Linked DNA regions of Alligator mississippiensis. The protein of the gene in region 2 interacts with the protein of the main gene of each other region in a pairwise test. Links are inferred from orthologs where the notes say so. Each region holds a gene or a part of one and is shown on either strand. Other genes may lie near its edges. The genes, in order: PNRC2 and ESRRG.

Region 1 (7,347 bases), on a different chromosome or scaffold from region 2:
GTGCAATCCAAATAAGGAAAGGTTGTAAAAGTTTTTAGCAGTCACCTGGCACTGCAAAGTGCTGCATTAGTTGGCACACTTCAACTTGGTCAGGTTCTAGATAAATGCATTGCTATATTTTGATAAAGCTCAAGATGTTATTTCCTTTGACTTTCTTTACCACCCCCCTCCCCTAAAATTTGGAGTAAGTCAAAGTCTTGGTCACAGGCTCAGATGTTAGTCTGCCCTGTCAACTGATGACTGACAAATGCCAAGTAAAAATTCACTGATACAACTGGAGCCAGATAGAGGCTTGCTTAGAAAAAAACCTTGCTAATTAGCCTTAAAAAGACTTCATGTGACTGATGGACCTTTAAGTGTAAAAGATAGTAGTTCTGTTTTCTAAAGATTTCATAGTGTTCTGTAAGTTGCATACTCTTTCTATTGCTGCATTACATTGTAGAAAAGTTGGTTTTATAACAGCAGCTCTTACCCACTGAGATACCCAGCTTTTTTAAGTAGCATTACTTCAAATTTGAGAACAGTTCAATTTAAGACCAATACAGTAAATGCAGGCATTAATAGCCACTGAAAAAACTGATTAGGTTGCATAATGGTAAGTAAATACGTTTTTCACAGTAAAATGCACCAAACCTGAATGAGGTGGAAGTTTGAGATCCTCAAGAAAAGTCCTCGTGTCTCGTCATGACACAACTTTTATATGCAACAAAGCAATCTCATGAGAAACAGTGCATTTTGGAACTATGTATTTTGACTCATTCTCAAATTTGAAACCCTGTAATTTTAAATGTGTTTCAAGTTCTCTCAAGCCTGGACTTTTAGTAATGTTTTAAGTTGAAAGGTCATTACTTCTTTATCAGAAGGGTTAAAAGAAACAGGTACCCAGTGGCTTGGAGGTTTAGGAAGAACACTTGGTGAAGGTGGCTCACTAAATTTTGCTCCAGCATAGTTCTGATTGGTTCGAGATGTAAAAAGTGTGTTGGGACTTGATAAAGCAGGATTCCAATTCTGATTATTTTGGAAGTGCACAGCATTCTTTCCTCCTTTTTGCATGGCCTGCCATGCAACAGATGATGAGTTGCATCCATGCCCCCTTTCTTTCTTCTTATAGGTAATCTTCATCTGAGAATTCTGATCTTTGCTTTTTTGCCTGTTTTTAAGTTGTTGGTGATTCTTGTTAATATTTCTAGGCTGGGGAACTGGAATGTTGAATCTTTCTCCACCACCCATCTTCAACTTCAATGTCACCTGTTTGAGAGGGAATGGTAACACTTACTGAAGTTCCACGAGAGCCTTTCATTTAGTTGTTTTGTTTTTTAAACTAACTCAAGCTTAATTCAATGAATGCATTCCAATGTTAAAACAAAATGTTTGGAGTTCGGTGACCTCTAGTACTACCTGCCCTTCACAACAGAAGACTGTTATTGTCACTGAGACAGCCCAGCGCTTCACAGAACAAACACTGTCAAGTCCTGTTTTGGAAACACTTCAATCAAGAACGTGCATCCGGACTGCGATTGCTTAAATCAGTCCACAGCCCAGGAGTGTTTCTTCACACTAAGTCCTCACGCAGTATCCATGAATGATACAGTCTGCAGTTGCTGGCTAGGTAGAAAGGCTGTAAACAGCTCAGCCCCTTCATGGCTGAACTAGAACATCCACAATCGGTGATAAGTGAACTTTGCCTAAACCTCTACACAGGGACCGCAGCTGACCATTCCAGAACAGCTGTTTTATCAGAATGCTACCTTTTATTTTTCCAGAAAACAGTGGAGTGACCTGGGTCACTTCAGCGTTAATTCTACAAAAAACCTCTTCAGAACAATCAAAACCGCAGTCACAAACCCCCAAGCTAACAGCCCTGTGCCACTTGCCTTCACGAATAAAGAGAGGCTGCTATGACTTTTTAAAATTAGAATAAATAATAGTAATAATCATCATCAAAACATGCTATTTTCTCCCTGGGGAGGTGGGGGGAAAAAGAAAAAAAAAAAACACAGCAAAATTATTGGAGGGTGCTCATATAACGATGCGAGACTATGAAAAGAGTGAGAAGCATTTGAATTCTTCAGCGCAATTTCAAAGAGCTACTTCCCAAAGCACTTTTGGCCGAGACATAACGGCCAAACGCCGGCTCGTGCTCCGCTCTCCCCGTTACCTTTCAGTCTTCTTCTCGGACTCTACCGCCGCCACCTCCCGTCCCCTCTTCTGCTGCCAAGCCTGGAAAAGGAGGTGCTGTCTTTTGCCGGACCTCTTCCTTTGGCTGGGGATAGACGTTTTCATGGGCCGATCTGCCGTGTCCAGCCACGAAGCCGAGCCCCACATCGGATTCTCAGCAAACAGGCTCCAGGTGAGAAGTCCCAGCTGCAAAGAGAAGCGAAAACTGACCCTGGGCGGGGAAAAAGAAAACAAACAGCTGATCGCTGAAAAATGTCTTGGGTTTGAAACTGTGCCCGGCAGGGCAGGGCACGCTCCCTCGCCCCAGACAAAGGGGCGAAGACAGTTCGCGAACAAAAGACGGACGACGTCCAAGACCATTTATCCTCCGTAGGGCCATTGCACAGCCGCTCTCGTTTCCGTGAGGCTGCGTTTTTACTGTTTCTTCACACACAAAATAATCATCATCATTTTAATTAAACAAACAAGGGAGGGCCTGGCGCAGCGCACGGAAACGCGTCTCTCCTCGGGCTCCGATGCGAGCATTTGATCCACTTGTTGACGCCGCGGCCGTGCGGGAAACGCTCGTGGGTCCGCGAGGGGGCGGAGCCTCCAGCGCCACTCGCAGGCGCGGCGCCCGCGGCGGGGCCCAGCCCCGGGGGCTCGGGGCAGCGCCGGGACGGACCCCTCCCCCAACAATAGAGCGGCACAACATGGCGGCCGCGCTCGGCTCCTTCCCCCGCCCACCCCGCCCGCCTCTCCCGCCTGCACCGAGCCTCGGGCAGCCGGTCCCGCCGCTTCTCCGCTATGCGCGGAGCCACCCCCGCCGCTCGCTCACTCCCCGCTCCACGGACTCCTACCGCGGCCGCCCCCTCGCTCGCTCGCTCCCACACGAAATGGCGGCCGCCTCCCCGTACTCTATACGGCCGCGGCTCCCCCCGCCCCTCCCTCTTGCGGCGCGAGCCAATAGGAGCGCGGCGCATCACGGGCCCGGCCAATAGGAGCCGGGTCCGCCTGTTGCTGGGGCGTGAGGGGAGGAAGGGGCGGGGCTTGGCGGTGGCGGTTTGAATTGCTCCTGGGAGCGGAGCCTGTCGGGAAGGGGGAGGGGAGGGAGCGCTGAGGGGTAGGGAGGGGGGCGTCGTCCCTTCCTGAGGAGACCCCCCCCCCCCCTGCCCTGGGCACTGGGGAGGGGGGGAAGATGGGTCACCCCTCCCACAAAGAGCAGGGGGAACTGGTTTAAAACAAAACAAAAACTCTTTTTTTCTCTTTGTCTTCAAGCACCTGAGTTGTTAGGAAGCGGCGGCCCACGTTCTGGAAAGCCAGGAGGGCGAGAAACTACTTGTCCCCTTCAGAAGAAGAGATTTGTTTTGGTTCCCAGACCGTCTCCTGACACCGGCAGCTAGGACGCGAAGCCGAACGCCTCCCGCGTCCGTGAAAGCGGCGGAGCTGAGAGCGGCGTCGAAGAGCGCAAAAACGACGCGCTCGGGGGTCCGGGAGAGACGGTTCATAACCCGTCTGACCCGAACCGGTTCGGTCCGATACCACGTTCAACCAGGTTTATCTTAAACCGGTTTCAGCCATTCTGAAACGGGTTTACCTGCACCGAACTTCTGTTGTATTGCAGGTTTAAACCAGGTTCTGACAACTTAAACCGGTTTAGGTGTAACTTCTGCCCCTAGTCCATCCCCCTCCCGTGTGGAGTTGGTGCCTTGCCACCCAGCTATACAGCACTCCGGTTTTCGTTACGTGCGTGGCTGTTGACAGCCCTGTTACTCACAGCGATACGCATAATAAACTTACAACACAGTATTTCTCAACAAGTATGACTCAACGTGTCGGAGAACCATTGTGTTATTTGATTGATCGTCGGGTTCTGGATGTTTTCTGAAACAAGCATACGTTCAGGGAGAGCAATAGAGAGGTGTAACAAGTTTTGCAAAAATAAGTGTTACCACGTTCTCGGAAGAGGAAAGAGATCTCTGAGTATGCGTGTTCGGCAGATAACCATCTCCCAACTCTCTCTTGTAAATGCTCTTATTCCTAAAGCATATTATGGTAGTGTAGGCAGAGCTGTACGCTCAATACACAATCTGATTTTGAGCAGATGAAAGTTAAAATGTTTTTGTAAACTCTGCGTGTTGCCAGCTAAAAGGAAAGGCATATTAAGTGTATGTGACCCCAGCTCTCCGCATGTCTAAACTCATCTAGTACTCCACACAAGCCAAAGAGAGGATGTTATGTAGCACATAGCCTCCGGGGCCTAGCTATTTCCAACCATAATCCCAATCTGGTATATGTTTGTACTTGCTATTTACATTACAGAACACTTCAACATCTGTTAAATGATTTTGTTCTGTTGAAATCATTTTGAACTTGCCTTCAAGTATCAATGCTGAACTCGCACAGAATAATTAATAAGCAATATATTTAAGGGCTTTTATTTTAGCACCCGTTAATAGTACCAAATTTACCAGAGTGAGCACTAACATCTACAAACAAAGCAGCCCTACCCCCTGTGTTTCCCCCCGCCACCACCACAACTGGGCATAAGTAGCCTTGCTTTGAAGTGTGTCATCCTAAACTAAAGGAATTACTCTTTGGTCAAGAAAGTATCCAAGATTATATCCTGATTTAAAGCCAAATTCTGCCCAAACTGCAATAAATCTAGAGTAAGTGCCATGACACCATCTGAGTTCTCTAAATTGGCACGAGTCTGAGTATAATTTAATCTTCAAGTACATGAGTAAAGACTCCCAATAAAGTTGCCAGCTGCTCTAGAGACAAATAATATAGTAGGTTCTGTGTCTGAGATCTGTCCTCAAAACAAACATGCATGAGAAATACAGCGTTTGATGCAAGCTCTGGATATTGAGACCATACACTGATCACATGTGTATCAACTTCATGTTGATTAAATACCATTTGATTAATTCATCTGTGATATAAAAGAAGCCTTCAGTTCTCTATAACTATTGTAGGCTCGGTCTGTCTAAGGTTCTGTTCTTTTAAGGGACTCACTTTGATTCTGGCAATACCTAAGGACAGATAACTCGTTTGAACTGGACCAGAACTGAATTGTAGCGGTATCAATTGTAATGTTATCAATATATTCATTTTTATTTATGACTCAGCATTACAATGATCCTTTTTGAACAGAATGCAGTGTCTTTCTATATTCAGGGTCACCACCTGTATGTAAATAGTTCTCATTAGGGAGGCATTTATGGTAATAGAATAAGAAGAGTCTGGTTTTCTAATAGGGTGTCAGAGTGGATAGGAAAAAAAAAGGCAAATCCAAACTGCACAATTTCTGTTCATAAGCAAACTTGGGAAGCATTACAGCAATATTAAAAGCCGACACTCTCTATGTTCAGCCTGCTACACACTTGTATATAGGAGCTGGTCTGGAAGTGAGCAAACTGCCACGAAGGATCAAATCACCGAACATGCTGCCTTGAGTAGTGGCAAAAAACAGCTGCTTTAGAGAAAAAGTGCAACACCCCCATAATGCACAATTATAAAATACTCCACCCCTAAAAGGTGTTTATTTCTAATCTAGGCAATGTGCTGAAGCGTGAGGGTTCACATTTTTTTCCTATCTGATATAAATATAAGTTGTTAAATCAACAAAAGTTTAGCTAAATATTTTGTTTCATCCTTCAGCTGTTTTCACGTGACCTAACAGGTCATCCTCTTTAAAAACATTTAAAAATAGGGTTACAAATAGTGTCCTATCACGTGAACATTTTACTTCTGGTATTTGTAATTGTTTTTTCTACTCAGCACAAACAGTGTCTTCACTCTAACATGTATCCAGCAAGGACTGTCCCCGTGGGATTCATTCAAACTGTATATATTGCTGCCTATCTTACTAGTTAAACAACTATTTCCTAATCATTTCCTGGTCTAGCATGCCTCAGGTCTTTCCCATACTCGTATCATTGAACATACTGTATTTTCTTTTTAACTGCTTTTCAAGCTCCCTCTTGAAATATGTGCTCTCAAAGTTATAATGAAACACCCACACGTCTCTTCTGAATCGGACCCTTTTAAAATTCATGTTTTTTTCTGATTAAGCTCCAGACTGAATCCCATAGCTCCTTCCTTCCATTTTGAACAGTAAATTTTTCATACTAGATAAGTGCTTCGTGCTGAAAGACAAAAATAGTCATGTAAACAGCTAAAAGAATTTACTTGTTCAGCATATTTGAAACAACTTTGGCATCCAACGTTTCCCCAGCTGGATCTGAACTAAGTAGTGAGCTGTTCAGCCAAACTGCATATTTCATTATCTGGGCAAACCAGAACTTGTACCATTGATATCAGAGTTTCCCATACTAGCTCAAGAGAAAAATATTCTCTACATTTTAATAGGATTATTCACTCCCTGCTCTCACATATCCCACAACCTGTTTATAGTGGAATGGCTTTAAAATAATTAATTAGAGCACAAAAGTTCAAGTTAATTACTCTGAATGGCTTTGCAGTTCAGATGTTTTCAGTTTCCATGCTATGGAACATCCCTTAGTAAGTTATTTGACAACTTAATAAAACTGATTTGCTTCCTTCCTCTATTTCCTTGTGCAGTTGTATCATGTACTTTTAGAAACTTGTCTGAAGGGCCTGTATCAACTAGCTTTTATTTCTCAAAATTAGATTTTTTTTTTTAAATGCTAAAATCTAACACAGCATGAGTGGAATGGATTTCATAATTTAATTTACATATAAAAAAACACAGCTGTGCTGTGTCATTGTGTTCTACAAAAAAAACATTAATAAAATCGCATAACTTGGTATTTCTGCTTAGGTTTTCACAGGCTTGTCTTTTGCCTCAAGGGCCCATTCATGTTGAAATAAAAGATTTGTCCTCGCGGTATTTTTAGCATCCAGGAACTGAACTGCTCCTAGATGTTATAAATGAGGGGCTTTCAAAAATGATAAAATCATGAAACCCAAGAAACCTCCACCCACTCCTAATCTGTCCTTCCTTTACTTCAGTGTAATGACCGCTGGGGCCAGTCTCCAGTTGTACCCTAGCTCTCCATTGTGCCCTGTCTTATGCAAACTCCTAATAAGAACTGGAAAATTAAACAGATTAGAAGCAAAAGGGAAAGTGAATGTTACAGTTTAACTGATCAAAAAAGAATAAAATGTGAAAAGTACAGTAAATAGTAGGCTGAGATTCACAAG
Region 2 (8,088 bases):
CAGTGGCAGCAGCCCTGCCCAGAAGCTGTGTGCTGGCTAGGCTGGGGCCCTTCTGCACACGAGGGTGGGAGTGAGGCTAGCTGGGGTATAATTAGTTGGTGGGTGCCCATGGGCTGGATGACATTGTCTGTTGCTCCCTGGTTTAGGAGCACTCAATTGTTAAACGCTTATAAAAAAATTGCTGCGCTAATGTGAACTGAGGTTTTTTTGGAAGACTTATAGTTTGGCCATATATGGGCAAATTTTCACAAAAAGTTCACTCCTAACATAGGGCAACCCCTCTGTCAAATTTAAAGTCAGTGTTCAGGATGGAGATACCAAGGTTCTCCACAAAAACCTTGTATGAATTTAACATGGGCAAAAACCTATTTTTTTCCCCCCCCCCAACATCACTGGTGAAAATGACTGGACCATTTTATCTATAATTACCTGGCCAAGAAAAATCCAACTGGAGTAGTTAAAATCTGATAGGATTATTAGCAACTGAACCTGGGGTCTTCCAGGCTTAGCAAGTGGTGGTGCAACCAGCTTCAACTACAATACATAATCTTGAAATAAAAACTAAAAACAAAAAATGACAGTTTTGGCTTAATGCGTGTTTCCTTTGATCTGATTTTATACAACATAAATCATAAATCTTCAAAAATTATGTTTTTATGATCCTACTAGACAAAGAGATAACTTACTGTGTTGTTTTCCTGTGATGAGGAATAATTCAAGTTCTTACCCTGCCTGATTAATCTCACAACTAATATTTAGAAAAGGTTTCACTTAGAGCTGATCAAACTTGGCAAAAGTAATCTTCAAACTATGCCACATTCACTGATTTGTAAGATTTTTCAAACTTCTGTTTTATTAAGTGCAGTTTAAATTAGCAATAGCACTAAATCCACTGGCTTATGACTCCCTCTGAAGCTTACAAACAGCCCATGGATCACATAAAAGAAAGCACATGCAAATCAAGATTATGACACACTGATCTCATCCAGATTGCCATTTCAGCAGTAAAAGCTTAATTCAGTGAAGTCCTTATGCTCACATTATTTTGCATTCCAGAGGTTAGTTGCTCATGGTTTGGAATGGATGAAGACAGCTCTCTGTTTTGCATTTCAGCCCAGGTCTAACAACTAATCCTTGCACTATTTGTTCAGAGAAGCTACAGTTTGATGAACAGCTCATGGAGCTCTTCACTAGGATCCCGCAGTGGGAGAATCAGGCCCTGCTGGGACAAAGTGGCTCTGAATATCATTACCTACTTTGCAAAGGGCAATAGCAAAGAGCAAAGACCTCCACAAACTGCTGCCCCTTAGAGATTCTATTTTTGCTAACCAAACTTTGAAGGATTCAGCTTGCCTTCACTTCACTGCCTTTAGTTCAGTAAATATCTTCCTGCAATAGAACAGGCAAATCCCACAAATAGCCCCCAACATGTATGTGTGAGAGGGTGTAAATGAGAGATTTGCTTATTAACATTTCCCTATCCTTCTGCAAAATCTCAATGGAGTTAAGGAGCTTCATGATCATAAAAGGGACAATGCTATCGTGGACCTAACTCAAAAGAGCAATAATGGTGTGGCCCAGTTGTTATGATGTGTAGAATTGACTGGTGTTACGGGAAATATGCAAATAACATAAAAGTCTGCCTTAATACTGGTTAATTCTTTCTCTGTTAAGGGACAGGCATTTCAAGGGAGTTTTGCAAGTATGATGGTCCAAAATGTCTTAGTTGTGACTATATGACCTCTTAGCACTGAATCAGGGGAAACAGAAAAAAAATACCACTATGCTCAAAGAGTTCTGAAACCCACTAACTAGATTCAGCTAGTATTTATTAATATATAATTTCCTTTTATTTTTGCAGACAAGCATGGCTACTAACAATGAAATATATTCCTGAATATATTCACTCCAGCCAAAGGGAGAAAAGAAAAGTCTGGGCACAAATAAATACTAATGCTAGTAATGGAAATATTCCAAAAGAAAAAATCAATCTTACAGATTATTCTCGATATCTTTAATCACCTTTGTCACCTGGGTAAATAATATTCTAAGCTACTGATTTGAATGCCTGCTTCGTATCTTCATGGTTTATTGCAAGGTGAAAATTGTGTCTGAAGGTAAGTATTGTCCCGATGCAAGCATATAAAATTACTTTCTTTTAATGAAGATTCAAATATGCTGGAGACCAGCAAGGTAGCTCCTTTCCAGACACTGCCAAGGGATTTCTGAGCGTTTGGTAAAACACTCTATCTGGGTACAGTAGACTATCAGTGAGTTATTCTATTTGTTTATATAAATGGGCCAATGCCTTTTGAAATACTTCAAAGCACTTAACTAAAGCAAACAAGCACTTGAACTTTAGATATCTAACAAGAGGAGCTATTGACAAGTATGACTTTCCTTAGTAAATCTTAATATCTTTGGGAACTATAATTCATATTGTCTCACAGCTCTGCATGAAGGAACACATCAGACTCTTATCTGAACTTGGGCTCCACAAGACTCACAATAAATGTGAAAAACAGAAGTGCTACTGCCTGCCCCCATTATTATTTTTATTCCCCTTTTACTTTCCCAAAAATGACAACCCTGGAGCCCAATAACATCATCTACAACACAAGTCATGGATACGCATTACATCTGTGGTGCTATATATGGCCCTATTACACACAGGAACTTCTATGAATCACTACAGGTAATGTGTGGACAGTTAGACGTAGCATTATAGGAGGTCTCCTGGTTCCCAGTATCCCATAATGCTGAACTTCCCCTCCTCTCCCTACCCACCAGAAAGAGAAGGAGAGTGGCCGTCATAGGGCCAATGCTACCTTGGTGAAGCAGCAGCGTAGCGTTGCTGGGGGGATTCTGCTGCCACCACTAGCAGTGGCACAGCTGGTGCCCACATGATGCATGCTGTAGTGCCAAAAATGAACATGTGTCCTTGGGCAGACCTTGCTGCTTCTTCTGACACCTGATTTCTTTAATTGTAGACGTTTATATGTTTTTTACCCTTTTCTAGAATGCATGTGTTCTTGGATGGCCATCCTAGGTACAACTTCATAGATATTTGATGCATCCCTATCTGTAAAAATGAATTTAGAAGGAATTAGAACATTGTAAGTCACTACTTTTGTTTACTAAAATATGACAGCACAGTTTGTATTTAACCTAAGTTGTTCTCCCCATGTCTACATTTGAAAGTTTTGAGCCAGCCAAATTATATTCTCACTTAACAACGTGTGCATCAGAGATGAATATTCAGAATTACTCCTGAACTTCAGCAGTATCAATGAGAACAGAAATTGGCCCTTTAAATAAAATGTCATCGGTTTTGTGAACCTACTAGACAATTCCTGGTCACCTCTCACTCCTGGTAACTGTGGTCTAGGTGGTTACACTTTTACCAAATATTTTTCCAAAAGGTGGCTAAACGGCCAGCTTATTGAGCTTCAGAAGTTCAAAGTTCAGTCAGTAGTCAAGTTTCTGAGCAGTACTTTAACGTGTTTAGCTATTTGTAAGTGTTTACATTTTCTTTGCAAACAAAAACCAAGCAAACAAAAACTCAGGCATTAGCTAAAATCACAATGAGCTTTCTGGCTTAGAATAGTAAGATCTGATCCACATATCCATTTTTGCTTTATGTATACTTCAAATATGTCAAACATCATACCGCTTCTTAGCTGGACACGGTCAAATCAGGTTTACTATTACAAATCATCTCTATTCCAGTATGAAACAGTAGAGATTTTGTGGCATGGTGGTTATGGCTAATTTTTATCTGGGGAATACCAGGAATGTAGACCACATGGCTAAGTACAGACAATCAAAAGGCCTGAGGCGGAATTGATTCAATGTTTGCAAGTTAGTCTAAGCTGCGGAGATTGAACCAAGAAGCAAGTGAACAGACATTCTGGAAATGCAGTCACATGCCTGCAGTGACTTAGGCTAGAAGCTGGGGGCTGCTAGCAGCCTTCCCTACCCTTTAGCAGTGGCCAGAAGGCTAGGGGGAAGCTGGGAGAAAAGCCCTCCAGGCTTTTCCTGCTCCCTGCATGAGCAGAGTGGGGGTGTGGGCAGGGGTGCGCCTGACTATGGTTATAGAGAGGGGTTTAAACCTGCAGGGACCCCAGCCAGGATGCCCCTGGGGTGGAGGGAAAAAGCAGCACCTGCCAGGCTTTTTCCCTACTCCCCACTGAAGCAGAGGAGGGGGTGTGGCTGGACCCTGGCCCAGGCCAGCATGCTGAGAGGGAAGAGGGGGGTGGGTTTAAATTCCCTTGCCTGCACGGGACCCCAGCAGGGGTCTGCCTGGCAGGGGCACAGCAGCCACTTCCAGGCTTTTCCCCACGCCCGGCTCGAGTGGAGGGGGTGGAGGCATGGCCAGATGCTGTCCCTGAGCCGCATGCTGAAGCAGAGGGGAGGGACAGGGGTTCAAAGCCCTCTCCCTCCTTCAGCCTGGGTCTGCCTGGCAGGGGCGCAGCAGCCCCCATCTGGCTTTTCCCTGCGCCTCGCTTGAGTGGAAGGGGCACAGGTGTGGCCAGATGCCAGCCCTGGGCTGGCACCCTGAAGCAGAGGGAAGGGAGAGGGGATTTAAACCCCGTTCCCTCCCTCAACCCAGGAGGCCCAGGCTGAGAGAAGGAGAGGGGTTTAAACACCCTCTTCCTCCTCCCTGCTTCAGGATGTAGCCTGCGGCCAGCATTTGGCCATGCCCCCACCTCCTCCGCTCAAGCGCAGAACTGCCTGGCAGGGCCTGGAGCTCCCTCTCCCCCTCTGCCTCATTCTGCCTGCTTGGCCGCAGGGTCAGGCCACCTGCCCTTTCACCACTCCAGTGGCGAGTGGGAGAAAAGTCTGGCAGGGGCTGCTCCAGCCCTTGCAGGGAGACCCGGCTGCCTTCTGAAGCCAGATTTTTCCACCCCCACCCCCTTCTCAGCTAGCCAGAGCAGTAATAGTGCTCTGGCTAGGGAGCAGACAGAACAGCTCAGCCCAGGGCTGCAAAGCATCCTGGGATGCTGGGGGACTGTGACTTAACTTGAACCAGGAAGGGGTCTGGGACAGAAGTTCCATAAACTGGTTTGACCTAAATCAGTTAAGTCTGATACTGCATTAAACCAGGTTCATCTTAAACCAGCTTCAGCCATTTTGAAAGTGGTTTATGTGCACTGACTTTCTGTTCTGTTACAGGTTTAAACCGGTTTCTGATCACTTAAACTGGTTAATGTGTAACTTCTGTCCCTTGCCCATGAGTACAAGTATGTGACAGCTAAAAAGCAGATGTTTGAGACACACCTTTCAATTCAACAGCAGGTATACTTCATTCTACATAATACTAGAACCCCTTCTCAAAGCACAGATAAGAAATTTCATTCTGGATTTGTTCACCATATGCAGTGTTAAAAATGCTTAAGGAAGCTCAGTGAAAAATCCTTTGCATGCCCCTAATTGTTGCAATTTCAAAAGGAGGCAAATTATATTTTGCAGGTGATTTAGGTGTCCTGAGATTTCACAGCGCTGGTTAAAGGAAGCTGTTATTCTTTAAATAGCATAAAGTGGGGTTAGTGGTAGCATGGGTGTATTTTACGTGGGTTTTCAGACTTCAGTTAACTAACTGACTAGAGAACGGTTGAAACTGCTTGAATCAGTAATGTAACATGAGGTGAGCGAAAGTGGCACATGCCCCAGACACCACCTAAAGGGAGGGGCACCAGAAGGATGGGGCAGGGGAGGGGTGTTCTCAACTGTAGCAAAAGCCTAACCACAGTAGGTCTCTAAACTGTCACAAAAGTAAAACCGGTCCTGAGTAGAATAAATTTCTGTTTCAACCCACAAAAGATCATTTTTGTAAAAAGATAAACACATGTTGATCTAAGAATACAATTTCACCCTTTAAAATGACGAAGTATGGTTTTTTTGTTAGATTTATCAAGAACTTCAGTGTTACAGGGCAATACCTGATGTCTGGTCAAGTGTCTTGCTGTTTTTCAAGCACTGTTCTGTTAAAAAAATAAAGCTGTATTTGAGTGCAAGAACTCCTCAGTGATAAAATGCAGGTCTAGGCACAGTTCCTCAAGGAAATAGCTTTCAAAAATCTCTGAAATACTCTGTAAGTTATAATTGGGTTTTAATGCATAAAACGGCTGAGTAATTTAAATGTTTGGAAAAGAAAACAGTCTTTCCTAGAGTTTATGAAGTGGCAAGCCTATTTCTTATAACGATTAGCTATGAATCATCACTTCAAACATGAGCATCTACTAGCATATGCTCCATACAACTGATGCTGTATAAGTCCAAAGATTTAACAAATTAACATTTAAGGGTTGATTCTGATCTTAATCTAAATCTTTTATACTAACAGTATTCCACTGATTTCAGTGGAATTATCCCTGGCGCACACTAGAAAATAGTAAATGAGATCAGAATTAGGCCTTTTCACTGGCTGAGAGCTCCTACCACATATTTTGCCCTATGGAAAGAAAACAGAAATATATATAGATATATTGAGAAAGTGGGTATATCACGACATTGTCATGGGAGACAGACAGCAACAACAACAACAGAAAGGTAACATAACACTCATTATTAAAAATGTCATAAGGAATAAATACATATTAAAGGGAGAATGAAATGAGCTAGGACCGCATAAAGTGTATGTATGGTTAACAATATCCCAAATGGCATGCTATTCTAAAGCACAGATAAAACAAGAGTAAAACAAAAGATAATATAATAGAGTTTGGAATACATTGCAAACAAGCAACAAGATCTAATTATTTGGAAAGCTCTCCAAGATCCTGTGGCTTTGGGTGAACTTAATTAAAGAGAAGGGAGAAATTAAAATGGAAAGGAAAAATCAGACTAGATAGATTGAGAGAGAAAAAGAGACAGACAACAGGACACAGGAAGAAATATTGTATCATTTTCTACACCAGAGTAATTCAAAGGTTCTATGAGCATTTTTCAATATTACAAAAATGCAAGATATAGTTTTAACATCTTGAATCCAGAGCCTCCCCCTCTTTCCAAATGTGGCACCTTAATTTAAAATATATATACAGTATACTGCTTGTAATTTATAACTATATCCATTATCATGAGTAATCTAAAAAAAAATGATGTTTTTAATTTCATCTGGAAGATCTTAAGAGCTGTAGTTATTCTGATTTCCTAAGAAAAGCTCTATTTCCCACAGTACCTGATTTCTGTAGATAAAAGTACTTGCTCTAGAAAACGTATACTGATCTCAGAGCAGAAGAGGTAGCCCTGAATTAATCCAGGTCCAATTAAAAGAGGGTTTAGAAGATTAGGGCCAGAACCTTTCGTTCCATCCAGTATTCCATGACAAACTGATAAAGAAACTAAGAGAGAAACTTTGTAAGTTGTGTATGGGTCCTACATCTATGTATGGCAACACCTATTTCCGCTACCTTGCTAACAAGGTCCTGATCCCGCAACTAGACCTGGCCAGATAGATCCCCCACAGGCCCCACAGAGTCAGCACAGTCCCATTACAATTATCATTTCCTTGTGTGAGCTCAGGAGAGTCTGTTCCTACAGAGAAGCTTCCAAAATTGAGGGCAAAGTCAACTTACTTGACAGTTTTTTCCCCAGTTTTACCCAACTACATAGCCTTTTGGACCAGACAATGGGTGCCTCTATGCATGACGCTATGTCACCATAACAACACGCTACAGCGCTGGAATGTCCACGGGTGTCTACACATGACCAGCAGTTACTTTTCCACAGCAATAGCAACGAGCTCCCTGGGTATAGCATGCCCCAAACAAAGTAGCTGATAAAAATAACTGTGCACCACCTTATTTAGTTAACTTAATGGAAGTACTAAATCACAGCACAGTAACGTCACCATAGCGACATGTGTAAATGCACCCAATCACTACCTCACATAGTCTCGAGGACAACAGTTAAACCCACAAACTGAAGAAAAGACTTGTTTTACTTTCCATACCACCATGGAGCTAAGCAGGAGGTGCCCTAATTTTGGATTTTGGCATACATGCTTAGCATGGGTTGTCAGCCAGAGGTGTACCTGGCCAGTGCTGTGACAGTACATGGTGTGGCTGGAGGTTTGCTGTTGCT

Evidence for each region.
Region 1: the proteins of ESRRG (region 2) and PNRC2 interact in binary tests that used the Homo sapiens proteins (3 or more experiments, as listed by UniProt). The link is inferred for Alligator mississippiensis from reciprocal best matches to the Homo sapiens genes ESRRG and PNRC2.

The regions. Positions count from the first base shown.
Region 1 is NC_081829.1:4,429,637-4,436,983, forward strand, and holds the start of PNRC2 (proline-rich nuclear receptor coactivator 2), read right to left. Parts: upstream 3,111-7,347; 5' UTR 3,018-3,110; intron 2,843-3,017; exon of another isoform or gene 2,365-2,842; 5' UTR 2,159-2,364; intron 1,249-2,158; 5' UTR 1,231-1,248; coding exon 805-1,230; 3' UTR 1-804. UniProt on the Homo sapiens protein: Involved in nonsense-mediated mRNA decay (NMD) by acting as a bridge between the mRNA decapping complex and the NMD machinery. May act by targeting the NMD machinery to the P-body and recruiting the decapping machinery to aberrant mRNAs.
Region 2 is NC_081824.1:186,318,710-186,326,797, reverse strand, and holds the start of ESRRG (estrogen-related receptor gamma), read right to left. Parts: upstream 3,066-8,088; 5' UTR 2,936-3,065; coding exon 2,829-2,935; intron 1-2,828. UniProt on the Homo sapiens protein: Orphan receptor that acts as a transcription activator in the absence of bound ligand. Binds specifically to an estrogen response element and activates reporter genes controlled by estrogen response elements.